4 linked regions of the Mytilus edulis genome follow. The protein of the gene in region 2 purifies or fractionates together with the protein of the main gene of each other region. This does not show direct contact. Links are inferred from orthologs where the notes say so. Each region holds a gene or a part of one and is shown on either strand. Other genes may lie near its edges. The genes, in order: GTP-binding nuclear protein Ran, importin subunit alpha-1-like, CTD small phosphatase-like protein 3 and SWI/SNF-related matrix-associated actin-dependent regulator of chromatin subfamily B member 1-A-like.

Region 1 (7,486 bases), on a different chromosome or scaffold from region 2:
CAATATGACCAAGCTCCTAAATATTGAGGGCTTTCCCCACCAATATGACCAAGCTCCTAAATATTGAGGGCTTTCCCCACCAATATGACCAAGCTCCTGAATATTTGGGGAATTCACCATCAAATATGACCAAGCTCCTGAATATTTGGGGAATTTACCATCAAATATGACCAAGCTCCTGAATATTTGGGGAATTTACCATCAAATATGACCAAGCTCCAGAATATTTTAGGTTTTACAATTTACACCACAACATTCTGAGGTTTTCCCCTCATCAAGTTATTGAATTGAGATTTCGAGACATGCAAGCTTTTAATTATGTCACAAATCAAGATGGTAAACCACCATTATCAGTTATCTTAACAAATTTCATTGAAGTATACACAATAGCAGTTTTATTTGGTATATACACTGATGATCATTTACAATGATATTGGAAGAACTAACAGACACACACAGACCAGAAAACATGATGCCTTCTTACTGTCATGGACTTAGGTATAAGAAATCATGCGCTATCAAATGGCATCAATATCAAACACTTTCATCACCATTAGATCTTTACCACAATTTCTTGCTCATATTTCTTTGCTTTATACACATTTATCAAATTATATATGAAATAACATTTTTCGAAAGATAGTAGAGCCCACAATTAGAATTCAAAATGGAAACAGGAAATGTGTAAACCAGACAACAACCCAACCAAAGAGCATAAAACTGCCGAAGGCCACCAATGGGTCTTCAACACAGCATAAAAATCTCACACATGGAGCTGGGCTTCAGCTGATCCTCAAACAATCATGTAAAATGTACAAATGTATACTAATTCAGGGAAATAATTGCTACACACTTTGTAATTAAGTTTGTATATTTGTAAAAAAAGTGTTTAATAACTTACTATCATCATTTTGTGGTGCCATTAAAATCATACTATGTTTTTTCTTCACATCTTCCACATTAGCTGATATTTTATCTATCATCCCCCGGATCTCCTCCACCTACAAATTTTAATATAAAATTTAATAAAAACAAAACAAAAAAAACAAAAAACTTGAGCTAAAATATTAAACAAAATAGACATACTGTGAATTATCCCTTCAATTCTTTGGTGTTACCAATCCAGTAAAATATCAACAGTAACTTGTAGGAACAAAATTTCAAAGGACATTTAATTCTCTGTCTCAAATGTTGTTTAACTTTTAAATTTGGTCCCATAAATTTTCTTATTTTACAGGACTAAAAACATTTATTCTAGTTTTGACAGAACCAGTATCCTATGAAAACTCAATATATTTTAAAATTGAGAAATTACAACAGCAATATGTTATCTGCAGGCTTAAAGAAGTCTCTTTTTTTTTATATATACCATATTGATATTACCATTAACAAAAAACTGCTGGAAGAAGTTAATTTAAGCAAATACATTCATAAATTGGTATTTTCATTAGGGGCAGTAACCCATATAAAGCATCAATAAATGATTTCAATATAAAAGTGTTTTGAAATTTTTAAGATGTTGTATATACATTTTTGTATATGTACGTCTGAACCAGTGACAACTCTACAACAGATTTATCCATCGGATCACCAGCAGTGATGGTGATACATGGCTGTGTACATTATGTATATACAACTCGTCTAAACATCAAGCCAACAATGTTAGATGTGTATATTGATCATACTTTTTTGCAGCTTTCAGTTTCTGATACAGTTAACGCCATTGTGAATCATGCCATTTCAAAGTGTTTAAGGAGCAGGTTCAGCACTTGGTAATTTTACATTATGTTTATAAAAATGTTGAAATTTTTGAGGTTTGTTTTTCTAAATACACCAACAGTCTGTGCAAAACTGTTTTAGGGTTTGTCTGACCAAAAGAGAAATTCAATTTTTCTTCTATATACATGTATATTCAACCAAAAAATCTTAAAAGTTCTGTGTGACCGAATGATTTTTTGTCTGACATTTTGTCGGTCAGATGGAGTTTGGGATACACTGCACCAGTGTGGCCACCTCAACATGCTTACTGTTTATGTTGCAATAAAATCATACTAGTCTGAGCAATAAATGCCAAAAAGAAATATTTTTACATAAATAAATGAAAGTTTATACCTGTTCAAAGAACATGTCCATGAAACCTCCAGTGTCAACATTGACAGCCACATCGTCTGCGTCATCATCATCACTCTGTGCCTAAAATAAGACAAACAACTACATTAACATTTTCATATAATTTGGTATGGTTTGAGTGTACATTTGTATTTATATTATATATAGTGATCAGCATCAGTCTGCACTTAAATCTTTCCATTTACCGACGACTTCTAGTTCGAAAACCAATATCCAACATTTTTCTTGTGTGTCATAAAAGCTTACTAGTCTGAATAAAACTTTACTAGTCTGGGGCATTAGACTTGTGGCTCAGGACCCAGACTGCGTAAACAAATTAATTTCTAATGTGAATCAAAGAAACAATTCATGTGGCTAATCTGCATGTACAATATATTTTCGTATCAATTTGGTACATCAACATTTATCCATTAATCAGCATTCTCCCCAGGCATGAATATATATATATGTGTTGAGGGTTTCCTTTAGTAACTATGTTTACTGACCCTAATATTGAGTGCCAACACAAAATTAAAATCAGTAAAGGAAACCCTTAACACATATATTTGTATTTTTTTAACAAACATATGAAATAAAATGTATTTCTACTCAGGCAATTAAAGCTTGACATATATTTGTACATGCATGTACATGTACTACATTGTATTGTATTGTACAGAAAACTGTCTATTGTTGTAGATCCTAAAATGCCATCAATAAGTTTTTATATATTTGTGTTTACAGTCTTCACGATGAACTGTAAAATCTACAGGCCCCTAGCTTATTTTTTGAAAATTTTTAGTTAGATTCTGTTGGCCGGTAAATATGATTTCTACAGGCCCAAGAGCAATTTTACAAGCCTGGGTTGCCACTCAGCGTGAAGACTGTATTTAGTGCTGATTTAGTTACATGTACCACACATCTCAATTTATTCAACTAACAATGTATTAACAGTACTAGTATGTGCAGGAAATATAAGTTTGTCAGTCATTTATCATGTTTGTCAGTAGAATAATTTTAATTTAATATTTGTATGTATGGATACATTTGTATTTAAAGTAATCTGTGCCAAATTAGTATTTGTATTTACCTACAATATTAAACACTTCTTACATTACCACCAAGAAGGCAAAAACTCCTAGATGGAATCAAGACAACTTGCCCCACTGCCAACATGGCCAAATCGCCCCATTTTTGTTTACTACTTCACCCCACTTTCTAAAACTATCAGCCCTTATGTTTACCAGCATGCCTCACTAAACTAATATATGGATTAAATCCTTTTAAATTTACTCCTTCCAACTCAACCCTTTTCAACATGATTTTATCAAAATTGGAAAATATGAGTAGACAAGTTGGTGAAAAAGTTCAGCTTCCTGTAGTAAGTTGCAAGCTCTATACAGGAAAATTCAGATACATTATGTACAATAATAATGGAGCGATATAAAAAAGAGCAGTTGAACAATGCAGTATTAAACTAATGCAGAGTTATGATCAGAATGTTTTCCACCAGTCAATACAGATAAGGGTGTCTTCTTCCAGATTATGAGTCGAAATCTGTAGTAAAGTGTAAATAATTTGACTCAGGCACTCTGGTGATTATATTAATAGGCCTACTTTTAGTCTATTAGTTTTATAGGCAGTGTGCAACATAAATTTCGTGTTCAGTTTACAGGAAGCTAAGTTTTTTTTTACATTCTGGTTAGGTTAAAAAAAAATTTAAGAATAGACCTATTAGGATTCACACCCCTAAGCAGTGGCGGATCCAGCCATTTTAAAAAGGGGGTGTTCCCAACCCAGGACAACAGAGGGGGGGGGGGGGTTCCAACTATTCCAACTATATGTCCCCATTCAAATGCATTGATCGGCCAAAAAAAGGGGGGTTCCAACCCCTGGATCCGCCACTGCTAACGCAAAAGAAGGCCATATACAATAATGCTGGAACAATAAACATGCTGGTAAATATATAATATATATTGCAGTACTTTACATGCATGTCTGTCACAGTGTCGGATTCCCCATTTTTCTTTGTCCATTATTGCCAAATTTTACAATTAATACTGGTTTAATTTACATGCATGGTCAATGTCTGTTAAGCATTTAAAGCAATAACAACTAAAGGGGGAGGGGTGTAAGAAATCAGTGTTAACTCAGACTCAGTCCCAACTTGGCCGGCTAAATTCTTACCGCTTTTAAAGCCGCAAGACGATCTTTGGTCATTTTTCAACTTAAGTGTATACTATTTTCATCAACTCATTAAGATCACTGTAGTCTTTGTATGTATTGTTACATGTTACTTCCAAATTCCGATGATACATAAGAAAATCGATACAATTTTAATATCGTCTACCATCATAACACTAGCAAGTGCGCAAGTTCATGCGGGGTTTCCTTCTTCCGGCTGTGTCGCACTTAATGAATTTTTTTTAGCGGGTAAATAATATTTGTTGTTGAATTTAAATTTTCAAAGATATTTCAAAGGACAGAAATCTTCCATCGCATAAGCTCTATTTTTGGTAGTTTATATAATCTAAAGTGACGGCAAATACCCGCCAAAACCAGTTTAAACCCCCCTTCCGGTAAATCTCTTGCGCCATTTCTTGACTGAAGAGGGACATAGCAGGTAAAATCGTCTGTCATCCTATGAAAGAAATCATTTCAATTACACCTTTGATGAATTATTTGTATAGAAAACAGCATGTTTTAATGTTTTATCACTTCATTTTTTATTAATTCCATTTCAACTCGTTACCACAAACAATATACCTGATCGTCTTTGTCATTCTTGAACTTGTAAACGTAAAGTTGACTGGAAAGAGATATACAATTCCTGTTAGTATTGAAACTTAATATTCATCATACAAAACTAATTGCGTATGACAACCTGAAGTTAATAGGCGATCAGACTTCCGCAGTCACTTCTAGAATAAATAAATAAGGATGCGTCAAATTCATTTATTTGGCGGAATTTTATGGTGGTGTAATTTCAGAATATATGTAAATACATAGAATAAACTTACAATTACACACTGGATTTATTCCATAGAGTTGTAAGCAAACCGTTAATGACCAGCTTTCAATATTTTTTTTGTTATTGTTTTAGAGACACTTGTATAATTTTATATTAAGAAATGTCACCTCAAACAGGCCCCCTCAAACATTGTTAAGCGCAAACAAACAAGAAACTTAGATGTAATATGTACTATGTATTGATAGAGCTTGTATTGTCATTGTTGATTAATGCTGGGAACCTACAGATCGTAATGATTAAATTGTAATGCCACACAGTTCATCAGCACTTAAATATGTTGAATGTCAAGGTCCTCTAGATTCGAGATGACAGAATCTCCTTTCAGTTTAGTGTTTACAGCTTGATTGATCTAGACAGTGATATACAGATTTAGAGTCTTAGAATAGAAAATAGTTTTCTATAATGATGTATTTTTTTAATATAAACAACTCAGACTCATATCCGATTAAATCATATCTATTTTAAAATTATATCTTGGAAAGAACTGGTTCTAACTGACTTTCAAAGAAATATTGCACAACGCACATACATACATACATGTACAGTATACATATACATGCAACAATATAGATAGTAAAATAACTTGCTGGTCATCTTAGGTGTTCATAAAAGTTGTGGTGAAAACTGACTTTGTTAAAGTAAGTGAATTCTTAAAACTGTTATATTGATAGTCATCCAAGTTTATCAAACTAATGTGCTACTACCATCTCTGGATTAAATATTGTTATGCAGGCCTGTGTTAATCTAAGTAAACTGCATTATTCATGACTTGGTGTAAATTTTAGGTCTAAGATTTTTTTATTAAAAGCAGGCCAGAGTATTTAAAAGCACATGAGGCAGATTTTACAGTATTGTGTTCTGTCTCCTACTTTCATGTTGCTAATGTGACGGAGACAAAAATGAGTAACGTTAGCGACATTTGGACATGTCACATGAGCAACAACATCTTTAAAAGTTAAATTCTAATGCAACAACGTTTGTAACGTTCATTTTCATTGGATAACGTCACTTTCTTACATGGCATCAATTGACAATTGATGCTATGGGACGTACGCGCAAGCGCAGACGACATATGACAGATTTTAAATACATGTTTTAACGTTGTTTTCTGTCAGTTTCATTAGAATGGAGATAACAATATTGTATTTTAAGCTCCGACGGCATCAATTTGGGATTTGATGGTCGCAAATACCCGTTTACTGTCTCCGCTAACGCGTCGCCAGTAAACTTAATTTGCGACCATCAAATCCCCAATTGATGCCGTCGGAGCTTAAAATACAATACAGTTATCTCCTAAATGTATGCACACAGTGATGTTTAATATATGCCTGGAGTAATAAAATTGTACAGTCTGGTTTAGAATTTCTAAATATACAGAATGTCATTTGCAGGTGTACTTTATATCAAATGAATACACAAGAAACCAAAAAATTAGTAACGTTAGCAACATTTGGACATGTCACATGAGCAACAACATCTTTAAAAGTTAAAATGTATGCACACAGTGATGTTTAAAATATGCCTGGAGTAATAAAATTGTACAGTCTGGTTTAGAATTTCTAAATATACAGAATGTCATTTGCAGGTGTACTTTATATCAAATGAATACACAAGAAACCAATTCGTAATAGTAACATTAGCAACATCTACTATCAAGACATTATGTTTTGTTGCGAACGTCTTTTTGATGGACGGAATACATTTAAGGTCCTCTTGTAAAGATATTACATACAACTTACCTTCTTTGCTTCCCCATCATGTGAAGGAACTGACTCCGAATCTATTTCTGCAAAGGGCGATATCGTAACTCCTATACAGGAGAGTTACAGATATAAATATATGTTGCTCACGTGACACTGATTTGGACGGAAACCTCGAACAGTAACGTTCGCAAAAAATAAAACAGCCAATGATATTGATTCCTCAAGTCCTTTGACCCCCTTACGTCATCCAAATTTAATATGATTGCTATTTTCAATTATTTATAAAACCCGGGATAAAAATAACTACAATGGGCTGTCTGAGAACTAACAAGAAAATTGCGATCGTGACATACCACAATGGACGGAAAAGACGTGACGTTAGCAACAATATTATTAAATTACCTTTTTTAGCCTTTACCAATAAAAATCTGCCTTAAAGTTATGATTAAAACACAAAAGAAGACTTTTTATTAAAATATAAGTCCATGTTATTAGGCTCCACTTATAAATAATACTTCAAAATTCCACTCCAAATAAGCTGGATGTCAGTAAAGTAGGTCATGATGTCTATTCCATGTCCAATATTTTGAAATTGAAAACCCTCTAATTCTAACATAAAACACAAACACAGAGTAATTTTTAT
Region 2 (7,347 bases):
CAGTTAAATTACAGTGATGTCTTTGAAATGATGATCATCAAAAGACTTAAGTGTGCTAAAATATTTAATAAGTGCATTAAACATGTTAAAATAACCTGTAGCTGATGACTTTATTGGTCTGAAATATGTGCCACCAAAACTTCCAGCTTGAAGAACTTCTTTGGGCGTCATATTTGGTCGTAGTTCTGGAACATCTTCAAACACTAGCTCCCCCTTTTTGTTACGAGTTGGTAACTTTGCAGTGAATTCAAAGCTCTGAAAAACATTCATTGTTGAAGATTTATTTACTATATTTACATTTAGGTGTGTGAGAGTAGACATCAGCAAAAAAAAATGGGGGTAAAGAAATTTATCAGCTAATAAAAAAAGTATTACAAACAACATGAACAAACTGAAATGTCAATTTGCCAATCTCTGCATTACAAGCCAAAACAAAGTTTATAATACGTTAAACATTTAAATTCATGGTTCGCCTGTACCCAGGAAAATTTGTATCTAGCGAGTTATAATAAATGCACAGTAGTTCTTTTTTTAAATTTTGATTTTATATATCTTTACCCAACGATGTAAGGCCTATAATGACTGTCATCACATTCTCACTCTACTTCAATGAGAGAATAAATATCAAAAAAGTTTCAGATGGGAAAAATATTGCACATAAAAATAGATAAGAAGAGACATGTACTGATAATTACCTTTTCTACATTTGTAGCTTCATCAATATTTTTGGGATAGTTCTTCTTTTTAGATGAAGATTCTTGTTTGTTTAATGGCTTTTCTTTACTGCTTTTGGGAGTTGTTTTCTTTGATTTACTCTTTGAAGCTGAATCAGGTTCAACTTCTTCTCCAAGTTTCCTTTTTGGCATCTTTGTTAAGCAGTTTATAAACTAAAATGGATTACAGAAATAAACAAATACTAGACATGCATTCTTCTCCATGTTTGAGGCGGACTTGTACTATATACATGTATGTTCTCTTATTTTCAATTGTGGAGTATTTATTCCTGAAATATTTTTTCCTTTTAGTCATGTTTAGTGCTTCTCTACTTTCTCACTATATTACTATAATCCAGTTAGATTATCAAGATTATTGAAATTTAAATGCAGACAAACTGAAAATAACTACTTTGTCTCATAAATAATAATGCTAATTGTTTGTTTTAAATTACCTGAGCAAAGGAGTAGGTCGATAAGGCCTTTAAATGGCCCCCTTTTTAAGTCTAAATATCAAATTGGGATTTATTTACCAATATTACAATGATTAATAGATAATACAGTGACTGTATTTTAGTTTCTTGTGTACAATTTGGAGTATGGTGTTCATTATCACTGAATTAGTATATATATGTATATATTTGTTTAGAGGCCAGCGGAAGGACACCTCTGGGTGCAGGAATTTCTCGCTGCATTGAAGACCTGTTGGTGACCTTCTGCTGTTGTCTGTTCTATGGTCGGGTTGTTGTCTCTTTGACACATTCCCCATTTCCATTCTCAATTTTACTAGATAGAAAATACTTCTTTTAGTCCAGTCAAGGGTCTAACTTAGATAAGTTATTAGAGAGAATAACATACATGTTGTTACATGTATTGTGGGCTAAATTATCAAAAACCTGTGATAACATATGTATGTTACATGTTTCAAAGGGAAAATACAATGTATACAACCTTAATATTTTGTTAATTTTTTCTTAAGTTCTATTGATATTATAATTTTCTTCATGTATACTAATCTTTGCAAAGATATAACAGCTCATAGTTTACCAATCATGCATAGTACACCTATGTTATTACTGAAAATATATTCCTGCAATAACCAAGGGGTGTTATTACAGCTTCTCTATATCTCTTTAAAGGCTTTGCTCTGACATGCATAACAATGTTTTTCAATTCATTGTAAGAAATGATGATCAGAGCTTGTAATGAGGCACTGTTTAAGATTCCAAGTGTCTCATTTACTCTCATATAGTAAGTTACATGCTTGTAATAACTAAGCTTAGTTTACAGATTAAGGAAAAACGAGTAGACAACTCATGAAAGTTTCTGTAATAACATACAATGACATACATGTACAAAATGTACACATGTAGGCATATTATTTTTCTCTGATAACTTATTTAATTAGACCCTTGACTGTAGTCACAGATTTACATTACTGCGTATTATTAATGACGTCAAAAATAGTCAAATGATAGTACTCATTTTGATTTTCCACACAAAAACAATGAAAATGGGTAAATTGCTGTTGAATATTTGGACAGGAAACATATCATGCATATAGCCCATACATTTGTAAAAAAAGATCTTTGACAATAATGTTTGTAATGACTATTACATGTCTAACTTGAATATTTATGTTGTCGACAGCTGCCCTCTATGTTTCCTGATGTTAAATTTGGCTGAATTCCTGCCGATTTTGGCAACTGTACTAAGAAATTTGGATTTCATTCTTAGCCAGTACTATTTAAATCAGAACCTTTCTCAGACATACAATGTATATATATCTTTAAAATATGTTAAAATACATGGGGAATGTGCTCATGGGGCACACATGATCCCTCTTGTATATCATATTAAGTTATAAAGGGACATAACTGATAGACTGTAAAAGTGACACTCCCCAAATGTGTGCTTGATCTGAGTTTTGTGGTAACAAGTATGATGTGTAAACTTCATAAAATTTGGTTAAGGCAAACTTAAGTTAGAGAATGGAAACGAAAAATTCAGCATTTTTTTATAATTTTGTAAAGGAACATAACTCTAGAACAATAAGAGTAAAAACCCTGAATATTCAAACTTGATCTGTATTTTGTGGTTATAAGCAATTGTGTTAAAGTTTCATCACATTTAGTTTAGGCTTATTAATGCTAGAGAATGGAATCGAAAAAATCAGCATTTTTTACATTTGTTAAGGGGCATAACTCTAGGAAGGTTTACATCACCAAAATGCAAACTTGATCTGTAATATGAGGTAACAAGTATCGTATCTATAAGTTTAATATGGGGACGATGTCACCTATTACATTAAATGTATTACACATGTTACAGTAAAAAAATCAAAAAATAAAAATCAGGAAAATTTCCCGAATTTTTCATTTTACTAATGAACTCAAAATCGTTAATTTTTTTTCAGTTTTTTAAATCCCCGCATCTGCACAGAAATCTACTCCCTTTTCCCGTCTTGTTTGCCTGAGACTTTGAATAAAATATATATTAATCAGTCTAGTAAAATATATATAGAAAGGAATTCAATACTACATTGTAATTCACTTTTAAAAATTGTTTGTTATGAAAAAAGGTTACCCTAGCGTTTCATTGTTTACATTGAATATGACGTCATAACTTAAACAACTTCACAACTAAAATCCCTAATAACAAAACCAAAATCGGAAACGTCACTGTACTTCCATTTCTTTTTTTTTTAACATGTTTGAATTAAAAAAATAATTCATACAGACTTCATCCCCTTTACAGGTAATGCCTGCCTCATGTTAGCATTTAATTAAGGCAAATTATAAAAGTTGTAGAACAGAAATAAATTATTTTTAATTTTCACTTCAAAATTTTATTCTGAGTACAGACAAACCTGTGCATCTGTAAAAGTTTTAAGGCATAGCATGCCCTAGATAAATAAATTTCAAATATGTATTATGGTTTAGAAAAATAAAAACTTAACTGGATTTTGCAGTGCACTTTTTTTCATTCCTCGAGAAGGTGCCAAAATAAACTAAGTTGGGAAAGAGGTTTGAGAACTTCCCAACAGGTAATAATTGAAGTGAGCTGTATTGATTGACATGGACAGTAGATACCTAACAATAATTGGTCATTTAAACTGTGTACCTGAGTGGACCATATCAAGGAAAACTCAACTGTTTGTTAATTTTATCATCTTCTGCAGGGACGAAACAAAGTGCACTGCAAATTCCATTTAAATTATGGATTTTCTAAATCATACAATGCATTTGAATTATATTTATCTAGGGCATGCTATGCCTTAAAACTGTTCCAGGTCACAGGTCTGTCTGTACTCGGAGTAAATTTGGGGTGAAAATGCAGCCAAGAACCTTAAGTGACGCCACTAAAATTGAATCTTTATCCGTGTTTGTGGTAGTAAACCATGTGTATTATTTTCATAACATTTGGTTAAGGCAAACCAATTTTTAGATGTAAGTGCAAAAGGGCATACAGCGGACAAGGATTTAAAGCCTGGCAGCACCTAGATACATAGAAGTTGTATTCATTTTCTATTTTAAAATGAAATAAACTTTTGTGGATTTTGCTAACATGGCTAAAAAATTTCATTTCTTTCCACAGGTACATGTAGTGTAAAAATAAACAAAGTCATGTGAAATCTTTGAGATAGTAACCTCAGGTAATGATTGTATTGTATCATATTAATTGAAATGGACAATAGAAATCTACTCACAACAAAGGTGATTTAAATAGTGTAAATGAGTGGACTGTATCAAAGAAAACTCAAGTGTTTGTTTACTTCACCATCTTCGGTGGCAAGAAAATGTTCATCAAAATCTATAAAGTGTTTGAACTTTTTGTCCTGCGACTTTCTGTCCTACATTATGTAGGACAGAAAGTCAATTTCTATATAACTACACCCCCCCCCCCCTTTCCCCCCACTACGGCAACATAAAAAAAAAGAAAACATGGCCATTCCTACATGCATTATTTGTGTTCGTACAAGTGTGTATAGTACCACTCCCCCTCCCCTTGACAGAACAAATGCCTGTCTTTTCATTGAACAAAACAAATTATAGGTATATTGATCCAATATCCACCCGTTTATAGTATGGATCACATTTCCGACCTTACATTGATTACGTGCTACGTGTACAATGTTTCGAGTTCTTTCGGAATTATATTCCAGGTAACTCTCTTCAGAGGTCGTCCGTTTTATTTTTATTTTCTAAATGTTTGTTTATTTATTATTTTGTACATTTTATTTATTATTGTACCTTTTATTTATTTTTGTTCGTTTTATCAGCGTATGGATAACTGGTTTTGGTTATTAGATTTAGTTTAAGATACGTTTCAATATGCATTTTTCATTGTCAACGCACCTTCCTTTGGTTTTAGTGTAACTGTCTAATTAATTTCTATTGGGAGACATTGATTTATTTCAAGTGTTTCTTAACGATTTCCCCAATGTTCCTGTTTCTTTTGAATGCTATTGTAGGTTTTTTATCAAAGAGATTTTTGAACTGTGGGTTGTCTTGAATTAAATGCCAATGTTTTCTTATAATGGTTTGTAAATTTTCCGCATTAGCGTGGTATTGTGTTATGAAAGATATATTATAGTTATCTGTGTTTTTGTTTATGCTTGTTTCTTGGTTTGTTAATTTGTTTAATCTTTCTGTATGGGAAATATTTCTTAATATTTTATTTACAAAAGCGATTTTGTAACCTCTTTGTATTAATTTTTCTGTAAATAAGTTTATTCTTTCATTAAAATTGTCAGGATCAGAGGTATTTCTAAGAATTCGTATTCCTTCACCTTTAATAAAGGATTTAAAACAACTTTTAGCGTGGTTAGAATTTTGGTGTATATATTGGAATTTTTCAGTTGGTTTTGTGAAACATTTAATATCTAAGATATTTTCTTTTTGAAATCTCTGTCCTTTATACGTTTCTAAGTCTAGAAATTTCAAACTTTGTCTGTCAATTTCATAAGTAAATTGCAGTAGGTTGTGGTTTGTGTTTGCTATTTCGAAAAGAAGTTTAACTTCTTCCGTAGTACCTTGAAATAAAATATATCCATCATCTTTCATACGTTTATGAAATAATATTTTGTTTTTGTGTGGAAAGATGTTTAGAATTTTATTTATATGTTGGTATATAGCTATATCTGAGATTTGAGGACTTGCTATATGGCCTTGGCTAGCTCCTATAATTTGCCTATAACATTTTTTGTTAAAGGTAAATTCGTTATTAAGGAGAATTAAGTTTGTTATTTGTAGTAAATAGTCAAAACTGGGTTTTATTATGTTATATTCTAGGTTTTCATATATCCCTGTAACACTGTTTAGAGCGGCAATAATTTCGCTAAATCTTAGATTTGTGTAAAGGGATGTGATATCATAAGTCACCAGTAAAGTATCAGTTTCTATCTTTGATTTTTCGAGTAGACGAAAGGTCGGAAATGTGATCCATACTATAAATGGGTGGATATTGGATCAATATACCTATAATTTATGCAAACTTAATTCTCCTTAATAACGAATTTACCTTTAACAAAAAATGTTATAGGCAAATTATAGGAGCTAGCCAAGGCCATGTAGCAAGTCCTCAAATCTCAGATATAGCTATATACCAACATATAAATAAAATTCTAAACATCTTTCCACACAAAAACAAAATATTATTTCATAAACGTATGAAAGATGATGGATATATTTTATTTCAAGGTACTACGGAAGAAGTTAAACTTCTTTTCGAAATAGCAAACACAAACCACAACCTACTGCAATTTACTTATGAAATTGACAGACAAAGTTTGAAATTTCTAGACTTAGAAACGTATAAAGGACAGAGATTTCAAAAAGAAAATATCTTAGATATTAAATGTTTCACAAAACCAACTGAAAAATTCCAATATATACACCAAAATTCTAACCACGCTAAAAGTTGTTTTAAATCCTTTATTAAAGGTGAAGGAACACGAATTCTTAGAAATACCTCTGATCCTGACAATTTTAATGAAAGAATAAACTTATTTACAGAAAAATTAATACAAAGAGGTTACAAAATCGCTTTTGTAAATAAAATATTAAGAAATATTTCCCATACAGAAAGATTAAACAAATTAACAAACCAAGAAACAAGCATAAACAAAAACACAGATAACTATAATATATCTTTCATAACACAATACCACGCTAATGCGGAAAATTTACAAACCATTATAAGAAAACATTGGCATTTAATTCAAGACAACCCACAGTTCAAAAATCTCTTTGATAAAAAACCTACAATAGCATTCAAAAGAAACAGGAACATTGGGGAAATCGTTAAGAAACACTTGAAATAAATCAATGTCTCCCAATAGAAATTAATTAGACAGTTACACTAAAACCAAAGGAAGGTGCGTTGACAATGAAAAATGCATATTGAAACATATCTTAAACTAAATCTAATAACCAAAACCAGTTATCCATACGCTGATAAAACGAACAATAATAAATAAAAGGTACAATAATAAATAAAATGTACAAAATAATAAACAAACAAACATTTAGAAAATAAAAAGGACGACCTCTGAAGAGAGTTACCTGGAATATAATTCCGAAAGAACTCGAAACATTGTACACGTAGCACGTAATCAATGTAAGGTCGGAAA
Region 3 (6,832 bases), on a different chromosome or scaffold from region 2:
TATATAACAAAGTTTCTATTTGAACTTCTGTTATGTGGATCAAAAATACGTTGACAGTTGTCAGTTTATTTTCTACTCTGAGTTTGAATGTTCCTTTGGCATCCGTTTTTGTCTACCTTGTAGCTATCATTTGAAACCAAGGTACTATTTATAAAGTTTAAATAATGTGGCAGTCTTAGATGCGAGACCAATGATACATTATTTATTAGAATAAGAATAAGAATAGTTTTATTTGTCAATCAAGACGCCCATAAAGAGCAGCATAATTAATACAAATTACAATTACAAATAAAATACATATGATTAGCATTGATTTTGTTGATTACAGTTGTGAAAAAAAAACACAAAAAAAACAAAAATTTGTTATGATCTGTAAAGACTATCATATATCCTATATAATAAAATATTGAATTGAATTATTATAATATTATTACCATATGCATAGATTGATGATATTAAAGTCGTTTTAAACGATATTATTTAATTAAAAATCAGCAAAAAATACTCAGACATATATCATGACGGCAGCAGTCCTTTTGCGCCAATTACTGTTTTTCAAGGGTATCATTTGCGCCAAATTTTGTTTTTCAAATGTATCAATTGCACCAATATTCGAAACTCATTTGCGAAAATTTACCTGCACAGATATCTATCATAAATATTAATGATTAATATATATTTATTCTTATTTTTGACTTAAAAAGAATCATATGTTCGGAGATATTTCACTATGAAGATGAGCATCTGTAGAGAAATGACTTAAAATGCAGTAGACAGTCAATGTACAGAAAGAGAATAAAATTTATTGCATTGCTGAATATTTGATAAAGATGTGGCAATAGAGAAGAAAATAGAAGCTTTTCAAGCTAATGATCTTTTAGCAACATATGTTGATGACACAGTGCTTTGTTCCGTATGGACGCGTATGGGCATTCATATTATTAGGAGTTATTACGAACTGTTTTATGCATTTCATCCTTCAATGTTTGTGTTTTTGGACAATAAAGTGAATTTACAATAAAGCTACTACATAAATTAAATAGGATACATACCCATGCAGCAGCAGTAAGAAGAAGATATGTTTCAGAAAAGTAAACATTTGCCGGTTTAAACAGCCGGTTCCAATTCCCAAATAAAGGAGGAGGGAAGTCATTTTTCTTCTAATTGGCACAATCATATGTTTTATTTTTGGCGGAAATGATACCATGTAATTTTAAAACATGTAGCGCAAACGTAGCATTGGAGAGAAAAAAGTTGTGACGAAAAAGGACGCATTTTTGGCGCAAACGGATCTCTCCCATCATGACCAGATAAAAACATGCATGTTTATATGTGGGTAGTAATGCCCTTTATACCGTCAGACGCTAAACGGCCATGTTCGGCTACTGTTAGTGTCAAATTGGTTTAAATTTTATCGTGATTCGTGACATTCGTCAAAATCTCCTTCTTGTGATTTATCAGAGGTCTCAAATAATCATTGGCGGATCCAGAAGGAGGGGGGGGGGGCGGGGTTGGAACCTTCCTTTTTTGGTCGATCAATGCATTTGAATGGGGACATATAGTTGGAACCCCCCCTTTTCAAAATGGCTGGATCCGACCTGAATAATCATCGTTAACTTTATATTTGGAAACAAATTAACGTGATTCCTCAAATCAGTTGATCTTTTTACGCCCGTCTTTAAGAAACTTCAATGCGTTTTTAGTGCATGACGATAAAATGTACACTTTCAAAGTGTACATTTTATCGTCATGCACTAAAAACGGGCGGATCCAGCCAGTTTAAAAGGGGGTCCCAACCGAGGACAAAAAAGGGGAGTCCAAGTATATGTCCCCATTCAAATGCATTGATCGTCAAAAAAAGGGGGGGATTTCAACCCCACCCCAACCCCTTGGATCCGCCACTGAAAAAGTACCGTTAACGTCATTTGGAAAGAATGTTTACCGTGATTCTGCATGAATTACGACCCTCATATAAAAATAAGAATGAGAATATTTTATTTCCAATTAAAGGTCCCTATAAAGAGCTTTCATGACATTACATTCAAGTACGTAAGATTAGACATAAATTAGAGACATATAATATGAGAAAACAACATTGTTTAATACTATTAAAAATGCTATAAAAGGCTAGGACAGAACCAGATAATACAATTTACATCTTTAAAATATACCATTTAAAATCATATACCACTCAAAATATGTATATTTGTGGCTCATTTGCATTTATTATTTTTGAACTTCTCCTTATCTCTATATTTTTAGATAAATACTTTCCTAAACATTTATACACATTTAAATTTTCTTGTGTAAATAGCCATAAAAACTTTGAAAAAATTGTCTAAAGATTGAAAATTATTCCAATTTAGAGAAATTTCAGTAAAAAACTCATTTCTGTTATCAATTTTATAGTGGACATTCAGTTACAAAGTGTATCTCATCTTCAACTTTATTTAAAGTACAGTATAAACATTTTCTCAGTGTCCTATTCACATAAAGTTTGGCATATCTATCAGTCTCAATCCTTAATGCGGGGTTCACACATTGTCGATTATTGCTCCCGTTTGAGATCAGACAGCGATACAAGTAAAAAAGTCGGATTAGTATCCTCAATTATCTGGAATGTCCTATTATTGTCTGAACGCAGTCGTTTTAGTTCGTAACAGATTCCTACTGGTCGGGAAGGGTCCGAATAGTTCGGCAAAGCACCCCAACAGTTAGGTGCGTCCCGTAACATTCGGGGAAACTCAGCCGATTTTGTCTAGTCGGATTACAATCGTGCCTATGTCGTGACAGATTCTGCTGTATCGGATCGAATTCCTAACAATGTTCAGTGTATTCGGGACGGTGTCCTGTGGAACGGGAATGATCTGGAGAAGTCCCGACAATAACAGAATACAATACGACTGAGACCAGACAAAGCCGTTTGCAATACGATAGAGCGGACCGTGATAGGATTACGTTCCGACAGTACCTGATCATCCCGATTATGCCGACAGTTTTCGAACGGATAACTTCCGTCAGCGTCGGTTCACTGTCTTGTCACTTTCTGATCTCTGTCGGATTACATTCGGTAGAATCGGGACGCAGTCGTGACAGACTCGGTCGAATTTTACCTGGCGAAAGATACAAATCGAATTTCCATCCACGATTCACAGGATCTTGATCAGACTTTTGACAAATTTTAATCGGGAATGGTCCTGTCAAGGACGGCAGTAAAAATCGTGAATGTGTGACCCGGCCCAGCTTAATGGATGAGCGCTTATTCTAATTTTAGAGATTGATTGTCTTAATCTAAAATCTTTTAGAACTAAATATTTTTCAAAACAAAATAGAGTTTTAAAGGAAAAATAGGTAGTAAGTTTACCTTGATCTGATTGTAAAACTTTATTTCTATTTTACTTCCAGAAATGGAAATAGTAAGTTTTTATATAGCTTATCTTTGATAAATTTTGTGAAAGAGTAGATACTGGTTTTTAAATTACATGTTTGTATGCCCAGCTTTTTTAAAATAGTCTATACTTGAAAACCATGTATTCACTTTATTATTGTGAAGTTCTTTATTACATAAATATGCATCATATAATAACATGTTCTTAGAATTATCGAGTCGATGATAATATTAATATAAATATGTCTCTTTCGTCTTCATGGGCGGATCCAGGGGTCGCCCTGGGGGCCCGCCCCCCCCCCCCTTGGTTGATTATATAGGGAATCATTGAAGCATGACTGGAGCGGCCCCCCTTTTTTTTAGGTCAGTCAGCGCCCCACTTTTCAATATTACCTGTCTAAATAGCGAAACCACGTGCTGTTGTTTATATTTACGATACAGAACGCATGCGCAATCAGGTTACTCATCCGGGACGTTTGGCCTACGCGCGAAATGATGTCGAAGGAAAATACAAAATAAATCAAATGGTAAGATAATTGACTGCCTTAGATCAATGATTATTTGCATTATATAACAATAATACTATCGTTTTATAAATTATATAATTGTCAGACATCTTTCAATCTCATTATATGAATCAGTTTTGCACTTTTTGGCAAGAAGCCATGTTTGGGGACCTTGGCCGAAATATTATTAAAGTTGATGTTTGAGTTCTTTTAAATCATTTGTAGATTTTAATTTTCAACTAAAGTGTTTGAGAATGATTTAATACACAGTACATATGTGCCTGATTATATGTAAAGGTTAGTGTCGGTGAAGAAATTATGTCGGGGGAACCGCAGTTTCTCAGCTTTGAAAATTTGTATTGATCGTCCACGAGATGACGTCATCTGGTTTGACCCAATTTCTCTCATGTGTTGTAATGTTGACATTTTGTGTTCTCTTGTGATGAAATGTTTACAACTTCGGATGTTAAAATTTTGAAGAATTTAAAAAATACAAAATAAACTGACAATGCCATGTGTGTATAATATTTATATTGTCTTAGATCAGGGCTATGTTCAACTTGGTTTGTTTTGGGTAAACAAGACATCTTTCACATTTTTCTTCCCAAATAAAGTTTGTCAGCTGAGCTCTAAGAATTGGGTCAGTGTTATCATTTAACATGAAATATTTTACAACAGTATACAATGTTTTCCAATTATGACTTGAGATACAATTATGAAAATTGACCTACATTTTAATGTCTTATGAGGTTTATCAATATTTCCTGTTAGATGCTAGAGTAGAGGAACTGTTTTTACATCAGTAAAGAATTATTGTCAATATGCAAATGTTTTAGCTCTGATTGAAGACCTAAGAAAGTATTGGCTATTTTACATGGGGGCAATAGGGGGTTCATTAACATGTTAACATTATAACAACACCTCGATTTTGGCAAAAACAGTCGACAACAAAAGAAAAAAATGCTGATTACAGTTAACACATTTGGTTGAAAACAGTTTAAAGTTATCTTGGATATCAGTTAACAGCACCTTTAAAAAGGCTAAAACAGGTTAACATGAGGTATTGCCACCTCTATAATTACTCAACAGTGCAGTGATGTCGTTAGAAGCTGGCAGCCGGCGATTTTCGCCGGTTATTGTCCTTTTCCCGCCGGCTATTTTTGCATGAGTAAAAAAAATTAATAAGATAAAAAAGATAATCAGGTTAATATTAAAAAATAATTGTTCAATGCATCAGCTTCCACGATTAAAGTCGCGATAAACAAGGATGTAAATCAGTGTTTACCTTTAAATATAGTTCACGTAAATGCAGTCCGCTGATTGGTCGTCTATTTAAAGTCGGTAAGTATTGTAATGTTTGCAAGGATAAAAAGAGAGATGGACATTATGACCCTGTTTGGTTTTTGCTTCAAGAGAAGGAATAAGCCAAAGATGACAATAGCATGTTATGGAAATTAATATATCATATATATCATAGCTTGACAACATGTTTGAAATACGTGTACAAGTCTTATATGAGAAAAAAGGGGGTCATTTGTCACTAAGTACGTACGCAAATAAATCGATCAAGATATTTAATAAATTCGATTATTTTTGAAATAAAATTATAATCTATTATTTCACAGGCACTTGCCTGTGTATTATTTACATATATTCAAGAACAGACTTCCTTAGTTGTCTTACAAAAGACACCTTCCCAGAAAAAAATATAATATAGATTAGCCTTGCCAGGACTACGGATTCTCATTTAAAAAAAAAATCAATGTGATTGAAGTCAACAACAAAAATAAGACAAAATTAACATTTTCCCAAGCATCTAAATCACTCTCAGGTACAAAATGTATGATCAGAATGCAGGAATTTTAGTCTAAATTTTCAAATCTTTTTGGGGATAGCCAAGGACGTATATTATGTTAGTTATACGTCCTTGGGATAGCATACGATTTTATAAAATATAGCACCTCTGTAACAGTTTTAACTTTGAAATCGAAGCTCCAGCTGACTACTAGTCAGTGAATATTGTTTTTTAATTTTGTAAAAACAAAACCAACACTTTTTTAATATAAAATTAAAACAATGTTCTCAATGTCACAATTACAATTTTCATTTAAAACTAAATTATTCAAGTGACAATTCAAACCAGAGACAATATGTTTCTATTCAAACTAAGATTTTTGGATTCTTTCAGTTCAAAAATATTTACTAGCAGTCAACCTGCAGGAAAATGCACAAAAATGTATATTGGTCCATCAAGATGATCAATGATGTGATCACATGTACAGAAAATTTTCCCATCATGTTGCTAATTTTAGTTAATCATTTACATTATCTTCAGTAAAAAATGATGTTTTCAGAGGTCTGAATAAGGGTCTAGGACACCCCCAGAATGCAGGATTTTGCACCATTTTAAAAAAAAATCCTGGGGCCCTTGAGCAGGCCCCAGACCCCCCGCCGTAGTAGCGACGAGCAAGCTCGTCGATGCGAACCGCTTCGCCGTCCGCATGTACTTGCCGCCTATTTTAGAAATTCAGCCTGCTTCTTCAAAACTTAGTGACATCACTGCAGTGTACACTTACAATGTACAACTCATTTAAAAATTGTTCTTTTGTTAATTCCAATGATCAAAGTGCCCATGAATTAATATTTGGTAAATCATAAAGATGAAAAAAAGTGTCTATGCATCGAAAGATAAGGATCTATATTGTACTGAGAATTTAACAGTTTGTTTGGTTCGGGTCAAATCTTATCAGCCAATCAATTTTTGTCATGCCAACACACCCTTCTATAGTGTATGTGACTTAGTATGTCCAAATTTAATGTTCACAGGTTAAGTGTTAAAATGTTTGGTAAGTTTCAAGATATTCTGTTGTAAAGGCATAGATTATGTAATTGGTAATAAGGGAAAACAGAAATAACCATAGTTATTGCACACTCCCAG
Region 4 (7,060 bases), on a different chromosome or scaffold from region 2:
CAATGTAAAGAGATATATTGCGACGGGACCTTCAGAACTTGTCCAAGGCCATATTCACAATATTTTACCATTCACGGCCGGTACCGTAATAGGGTGATGTGTTTTGTAAACTGTCTAATGACTGATCGCAGTATTGGTGACTATAGACATATTTTAGAAACACTGAAAGTCAAAATTCGACAAATCACACGGCACAGATGGCGCCCAAGAAAAGTCATCTGTGATTTTGAGCTCGCATTGATATCAGCAGTAGAAATTAACTGAGCTTCCACGCGCTCAAATTAGTGGTTGCTATTTTCACTTCAATCAGAGTTTGTGGCGAAAAGTCCAGAACTTAGGTCTTGCGGCAAGTTACCGACGACGACCAGCAGTAAAAAGCCTAGTCCGTAAAGTTATGGCCATTGGATACCTATCAATTGCTGTTGTGCGCCAGAAATTTCGTTTGTTGAGAACATCCCGTAGAACTCAGAGACTCTGCAGGCGGTATAATGGACTAAGGGACTTTCTTGACTACTTCGAAAGGAACTATTTGAACGGGTTGTTCCCTCCCCAGATGTGAAATGTTTATGAAAGAGATATGAACAACAGAACAAACAACAGCGTTGAAAGTAAGTGTTATCTGTTTATTTCAAAAGTTAATCTGACGAGAAAAAGGTCTCAATTTAATAAACTTCACATTCAGAATATTTTTTACTTAAAACGATTTAGATTTAAATTTTCGCTTGGTATATATATAAATGCACTTATACAGTTAAACTGATATGAAGGGGTTCGGGGGGCTTTAGTATAAGGTTAAAAATTTCGTAATTTTATTTAATACACAATTTTTCGTTTATTCTTTAATTATTAAACATTCTTTTTCTAAAATAGTGGAGACCATTTTACCCCCCCCCCTTTTCCGGCTACCGAAGGTGTTAAATGATTTGATTTATTATGTATAAAATCACGTCAGTACAAGTATGTATAGCTGTAGCGTTTGCTTCTCCGTTCCATATTACGAATTTGGTTTTATGTTTAAGAAAATCTTAAAAAATATGAACATAAGTGCCACCAATACGTCTATATAAACATAAGAATATGTGATATGGTTGCAAACGGGACAACTCTATCTAAAACCTAATTAGGTAGTAAATTTAAGCAATTTAAGCCTTGACTCACACAGCAAAGTAAACTTTCAAGGGCTACAAAATGACAAGTGTAAAACAGTCATGTCAAACACAAAGACGTATTTAATTATGTATCACATATTTTTACTTGATATTAATAACACTGTTTCGGTTAGACACCCTTCTTTGTGGACTTTCATAAAGACCAACAAGCAACTTTGGAGAACTCCGTGGAGGCTGTCGATAGGGTATAGGGCGATCCAGCGCCGAAAAGAAAAAGAAAATGGCGAAATCTAGAAGCACGGATGATGAGATTGAAAGAGGAATATAATAATGGAACGAGAAATTTAGACCAATACTGGAACGCAGTGTGCTATGGAGTGGTTCAGTTTTGACACTTTGTTGTATTTTCTTTAAACATTGTGTAAATTTAAAAGTGAACTTTTTGATAAAACTATTTAGTTATGAAAACTACTGAATTTTTGCTGACAATTTGTGATATTTTTCAAAGATAAATAATTCCAAATTTGATTAAAGTGTTTTGCATATTTGATGAATGAAATGCATCACCAACAAATGCAAAAAAAAGAAGCACACACAGATTAGTAACACATTCTTCTTCTAATGCAAATACAAGAACTAAATGCCGTTACCCCCCCCCCCCCCCCCCCCAAAAGCAAAGAACAAAAGAAATGTTTGCGGTAACGCTATACCACTAAATTACACCAGGAAACGGACTAATTGGTACTGTATGTTTTTATTGTGTAATTTTTATCAAATCATTTGATTTATATTATAATTATTAAATGTTTATTTGGCCTATATCAATTTGATGATTTTGGTCGTTTTCAACTGATTTTTATCGTGCTTACACCACTGCTGTCTGAGGGAATCTTGGATCCAGAAAAAATGTTTAACCCGGCTGTGGATGAAATGAAAGACGATATGAAACCTGGGGATATTACTATCGATACAAATATTCACACTAATGCTTTTTATCGTTCTTTTTCAAAGATTTTCAGAAAATTGTGCTCTTTATATGCGACGTCATCAGGCAAGGTCGCCTTTTTTCATGACGTCACAATAGGAAAATTGAGAAGAAAACAAAACATTTTGACACAATTTTCTGAAAATCTTTGAAAAAGAACGATAAAAAGCATTAGTGTGAATATTTGTAAAACTAAAGTGATGGTTTTTAGCAAGAGAAAATCGAAAATGGATTTTGATTTTAAACTTGATGGTACATCTCTTGAAATTGTAGATAGCTATACATATCTTGGTCTTTTGCTTAATTATAATGGGTCATTTGTTTGTGCAAAGAAAAAGCTTGTAGAACAGTCGCAAAAAGCACTTTTTGCTGTTTATACAAAGATTAGAAATTTACATTTACAACTTAAATTGTTTGATTATCTTGTCGAACCTATTTTATTGTATGGATCAGAAATATGGGGATTTGAAAACATTGATATAATTGAAAAAGTTCATCTACAATTTTGCAAGAGAATTTTAAATGTGAGATCAAGTACTCCAAATGTCATGGTATATGGAGAATTAGGAAGGTTTCCACTAGAAATTAAAGTAAAATTAAGAATGTTATCGTTTTGGAGTAGAATGGCTAAAAATGAAAACAAACTTAGTAGTTCTATGTATAAGCTTATTTTCAAATTACATGCTGATGGTATTTGTGAATTTAAATGGGTGTCATTTGTAAAATCTATATTTGACAACTCAGGATTAGGTTATATGTTTTTTCAACCAATACATTGATTATTCAACTTTCAAACCCGTTATAAAACAGATTCTTCAAGATCAGTTTCTTCAAAAGTGGTCCAGTAATATTGATAACTCGTCTCGTGGCGAATATTATAAGTTATTTAAATCTCAGTTTGGTCTGGAAAATTATCTATTACGTCTTCCAGAGGATAAAAGAATCTGGATTTCAAAACAGGATTAGGGAAAAAATATTCTTGAGATACACAATTTATATATATCAAAAGTATTCATGGAACATGTGGAATACAACATTATACATGATAATACGAAATACGAGAGGAGAATGATTATACTTTTTCTGTTTAAATTTGACGACATTTTTAAAAGGATATATATAAAATGACAATTATGCTTCAATTTTAAAAAGATAAAAGATATGATAACATTTAGGAAAGGGCCCTTGTTAATTTGCAAATAAACGGCACAATTACGATGGTTAAACAATGTTTGAGGTAGTGGGCTTAATTTCTACAGAAGAATAAAACATAAATCAACTTACCAGTTTCACAAAGACGATGCTGCCAGTTGTCACATGTGTCACATTGAAGAGCATCTTGTCGAATCGTAACCGTCTTCTTGAACATTACAACGTGGACGAACCATGATTGCAATTGAAGATGATCATACATTTCACCATAGTTTATATATTTTTTCTCAAAGCTTGATTTTTACAACGTTTAAGCCATGCATTTTCTTTTCGGTGAGGATGGTGATTGTTTAAGTATAACTCAATGGCCTTTGATGTTCATAGTGCCGCACTCATACCGAATTTTTGTTTTCATTTACTTCTCTATGTTTATTCTACTTTTAACAAATCCATTCTATTTTTGTAGGTATGTTATCCACTAATGAGCACTGATTAGTATATTGTGTACTCATAATTATTTTAATGTGCATATCAAATGAATTGCCGTCTAAACAATTTCAAACAATCAATTCTAAGGAATACTAATGATTATAACGATTAGCATTTGATAAGCTTATTTAAAACAATTATAATTGCATTTTATTAACAATGAAAAGTTTATTTATATGTTGCTATATAATGATATATACGAAAGAAAGTTACAATAACTATGCATATAAACATGATAAATAATATCAAATAAAGCATGGGTAAGAGTTGGTAAAAATAGGGTACGAGTTGCCGAAAGTACGAGTTGTCGTGTACCCGACTAAAAAATCTAAACTGAGTGGTCTCCCTTTGCCATGGCGTCAAATATGTTTGGGACAAAGACATTTGGTGAAAAACCTCAAAAGTTTCAGATAGAGGAAGGCGAAGAATATTATTATGTCGGATCAGAAGTATGAAATTACATGTTGTTAAAGATCTCAGTCGAGAAAATTTCAGATTTAGTGTAAAAAAATCGTTTTTCTATCGAGAATCGTAGAGTACCCATGGCATAATTTATTTCTGTAACTGTTAGTGTTACTAAATTTGTGGCCTTCCTTATCTAAATTTCATTTATGGTTAGAGTTCGTTTAAGGGTAGGCATTTTGTCAGGGTTAGCACCCGTTAGACCCAAATTTGAATATTCTTGTTCTGTTTGTGACCCTCTGACACACAACCAATCCGTATGCAAAATTGAGATGGTCCAACAACAAGCTGCTCAGTATGTCTGCAAAACCAACATGAGTAGTGTTACAAACATGCTCACAACATGGAATTTACCATCACTAGCAGAATGGAATGTAAACTACACATAAGATTAGTTATGATGTACAAAAATCATGTTGCAATACAATGAGTTCGTGGTCTAGTGGTTAAGACCGATGGCTACAGTGCTGAAGGTCCATAGTTCGATTCTCACTCGGGGCGCTAAAAATATCAGTACGTCAGAAGGGTAATTTTCACCCTCTCACACACATCACTGGTACCCAGACCGGAGTTTAAACTAAAATGGGTACTTTGGGGGCCTCGGTTGGTCAAAGTTGTTCCCTGCTTGACTTCGAGATCAATCTTCTGATATCTCTCTGGTTTGTCTGTTTCCACCGAGTGGCCCGGTGGTTCTCTCCGAGTACTTCGGCTTCTTCCACCATAATAACAGACTTCCTGGTGTCCTAGCACTCCCTCGGTGTTGGATGGGGATTGAGTTGTCCTTGTAAAAATAATTGTCGTATAAATTATACGTTAGTGACACATCTCCATTAATCCCGATAGGGAGTGTACATGGATGCCACTGTACCCTCACATGTAAACCAGTCAGGGGACTTACTGAAATAAGTGATTTTTAAATCACTTATTTGAGTAGCAAATTCGAGGTTTTGTCACAAATTGGGATTATGTAGTTTTTTCAAAATTTGAAACACATAGGTTTAAATAATATCTTTTAATTAGTAAAATTTAAAAAAAATGAACTTTTTGCTTCTTTTAAGTAGCAAGGTTTATGCCTTTGATGCTATCATTTAGCTGAAAATTCTATTTTAGTTGAAAAAATGCTATAATAATGGCTTTACATAATGAACTGATACTTTCTTAAAAGATTTTTCCCAGCAGTGGGAGTATTTTTCCTGTGAAGTTCAAGGTTTCATCTTTCAGATTATGTAATAAAATTCTACTGTTCGCAATAAAAATTTCACTGTTTGGGGATGTTTAAATTAGTGGGGGTTATTAAAAGAATGATACTTAAAGAAGTGATTTTTGGGAAGGAAATTGAGGTCTGATACTTAAACAAGTGATTTTTATGTCATTATCCTAGATTCAGGACAAGGTCATCACCTGAAATGACCTGGTCATCCTAGACAACACAGATGTTGGTTCTGATAAGTTTAGAAACATAATTAGTCCCTGGATCATTAGTATTCTATATTTAAAGCTACAATAAAATTAAATCACTTCTTCTAGTGATTAATTTGTACTACTTAAATAGGTGATTATTAAAGAAAGACAACTCTAACTTCCAATCTTTATGGAAATAATGTTACTTGAATCAGTGATTTAGAAAATCATTTATTTAAGTAAGTTCCCTGACTGTAAACATGTAGAACATGCCTCATATCATAATTTCTCTTGCTGAGTTGCTGAGATTATATTAATGCTGTAAATAAACAAAACAGAGAACAGCTAAAGTGAGCTGTTCCCTGATGCTTTCAATGGATTGTGCCTGAACCAGTACCAGAGGGAGATCGTTCCACTGTGGTATTGTCATGAACTGAAATTATGAACATCTGTACAAGTATTTTGATGTATGAATATGCCTATATGAAAGTGGATGTTTTTTTTTCTAGTTCTTGGGTCTGCTTTTATGGGGGTTGCCCGGATATTCCGACACCCTGTTAGTCTGATGGAATACACCTTATTGCTTTTCCAACTTGACAATAGAGTGAGTCCCGCTTGAACATGTTGAACTTTTGACATCATACAAACAACCATTTTTTTCATTGTGGCATCAGATATTTCCTATAATGACATCTAAACTTTATGGGAACTAGTGTGAAGTCGAGAAATAAACGTATTTAAACTTTTGGTATTTAGCTGTATCTTGCCTCCGAATGACCTTAGATCGACTCAGAATCACCTTTTGACATCAAGCAACAATTACTTTATTTCAAATTGTGACGTCAAATATTTTAAATTATGATGTCAAAGTTTATTGGAACCTGTGTGATTTTACGTAATGGTGGACAAATTCATTTTGCATACAAGTGTAAATATGTCTATGGCGGACAAATAGCAATAAGGTGTATGTATGTATGTACTGGTAAATGCCTCCGATATCCGAAGAATCGAGGGGTTCTTCGGATATCGGAGGCATTTACCAGTACATACATACATACACCTTATTATGGAAAGCCAACGGGGTCAAAATTCTTAATTCGTAACTTGTCAATTCGTAACCGTTGTAACTGTGTAATTTCTAAATTGTTAATTCGTAAATTGTTAATTTGTAACTTGTTACTGTGAAATTCATAATGCTTAATTCGTAAATTGTCAATTTGTAACTTGCACCTTTGTAGTTTCAACATTCTTAATCGGTAAATTGTCAGTTTGTTACTTGTAACTGTGCAATTTCATAATGCTTCATTCGTAAATTGTCGATTTGTAACTTGTATCTTTGTATCAAAATTCAACATTCTTCATTAATTGTCAATTTGTAACCTGTAGATTTCAAAATTCTTTATTCATGTTATTGGTAAATTGTCTTTTTGTATATTGATGTTTTGTAACTTGTAACATGTGA

Evidence for each region.
Region 1: the proteins of importin subunit alpha-1-like (region 2) and GTP-binding nuclear protein Ran purify together in Homo sapiens (affinity purification with mass spectrometry; 3 studies listed by BioGRID and IntAct, with this or other methods). This does not show direct contact. The link is inferred for Mytilus edulis from reciprocal best matches to the Homo sapiens genes KPNA2 and RAN.
Region 3: the proteins of importin subunit alpha-1-like (region 2) and CTD small phosphatase-like protein 3 purify together in Homo sapiens (affinity purification with mass spectrometry; 4 studies listed by BioGRID and IntAct, with this or other methods). This does not show direct contact. The link is inferred for Mytilus edulis from reciprocal best matches to the Homo sapiens genes KPNA2 and CTDSPL2.
Region 4: the proteins of importin subunit alpha-1-like (region 2) and SWI/SNF-related matrix-associated actin-dependent regulator of chromatin subfamily B member 1-A-like purify together in Homo sapiens (affinity purification with mass spectrometry; 3 studies listed by BioGRID and IntAct, with this or other methods). This does not show direct contact. The link is inferred for Mytilus edulis from reciprocal best matches to the Homo sapiens genes KPNA2 and SMARCB1.

The regions. Positions count from the first base shown.
Region 1 is NC_092349.1:64,093,778-64,101,263, reverse strand, and holds the start of GTP-binding nuclear protein Ran, read left to right. Parts: upstream 1-4,463; 5' UTR 4,464-4,542; intron 4,543-4,634; exon of another isoform or gene 4,635-4,941; intron 4,942-5,445; exon of another isoform or gene 5,446-5,778; intron 5,779-7,486. Other genes in the region: syntaxin-like, read right to left, coding at 902-1,001, 2,113-2,193, 4,297-4,329. UniProt on the Homo sapiens protein: GTPase involved in nucleocytoplasmic transport, participating both to the import and the export from the nucleus of proteins and RNAs. Switches between a cytoplasmic GDP- and a nuclear GTP-bound state by nucleotide exchange and GTP hydrolysis.
Region 2 is NC_092353.1:13,692,804-13,700,150, reverse strand, and holds the start of importin subunit alpha-1-like, read left to right. Parts: upstream 1-4,343; 5' UTR 4,344-4,355; intron 4,356-7,347. Other genes in the region: uncharacterized protein, read right to left, coding at 96-255, 696-887.
Region 3 is NC_092354.1:12,255,950-12,262,781, reverse strand, and holds the start of CTD small phosphatase-like protein 3, read left to right. Parts: upstream 1-3,811; 5' UTR 3,812-3,915; intron 3,916-6,832. UniProt on the Homo sapiens protein: Probable phosphatase.
Region 4 is NC_092349.1:8,148,367-8,155,426, forward strand, and holds the start of SWI/SNF-related matrix-associated actin-dependent regulator of chromatin subfamily B member 1-A-like, read left to right. Parts: upstream 1-4,053; 5' UTR 4,054-4,088; coding exon 4,089-4,184; intron 4,185-7,060.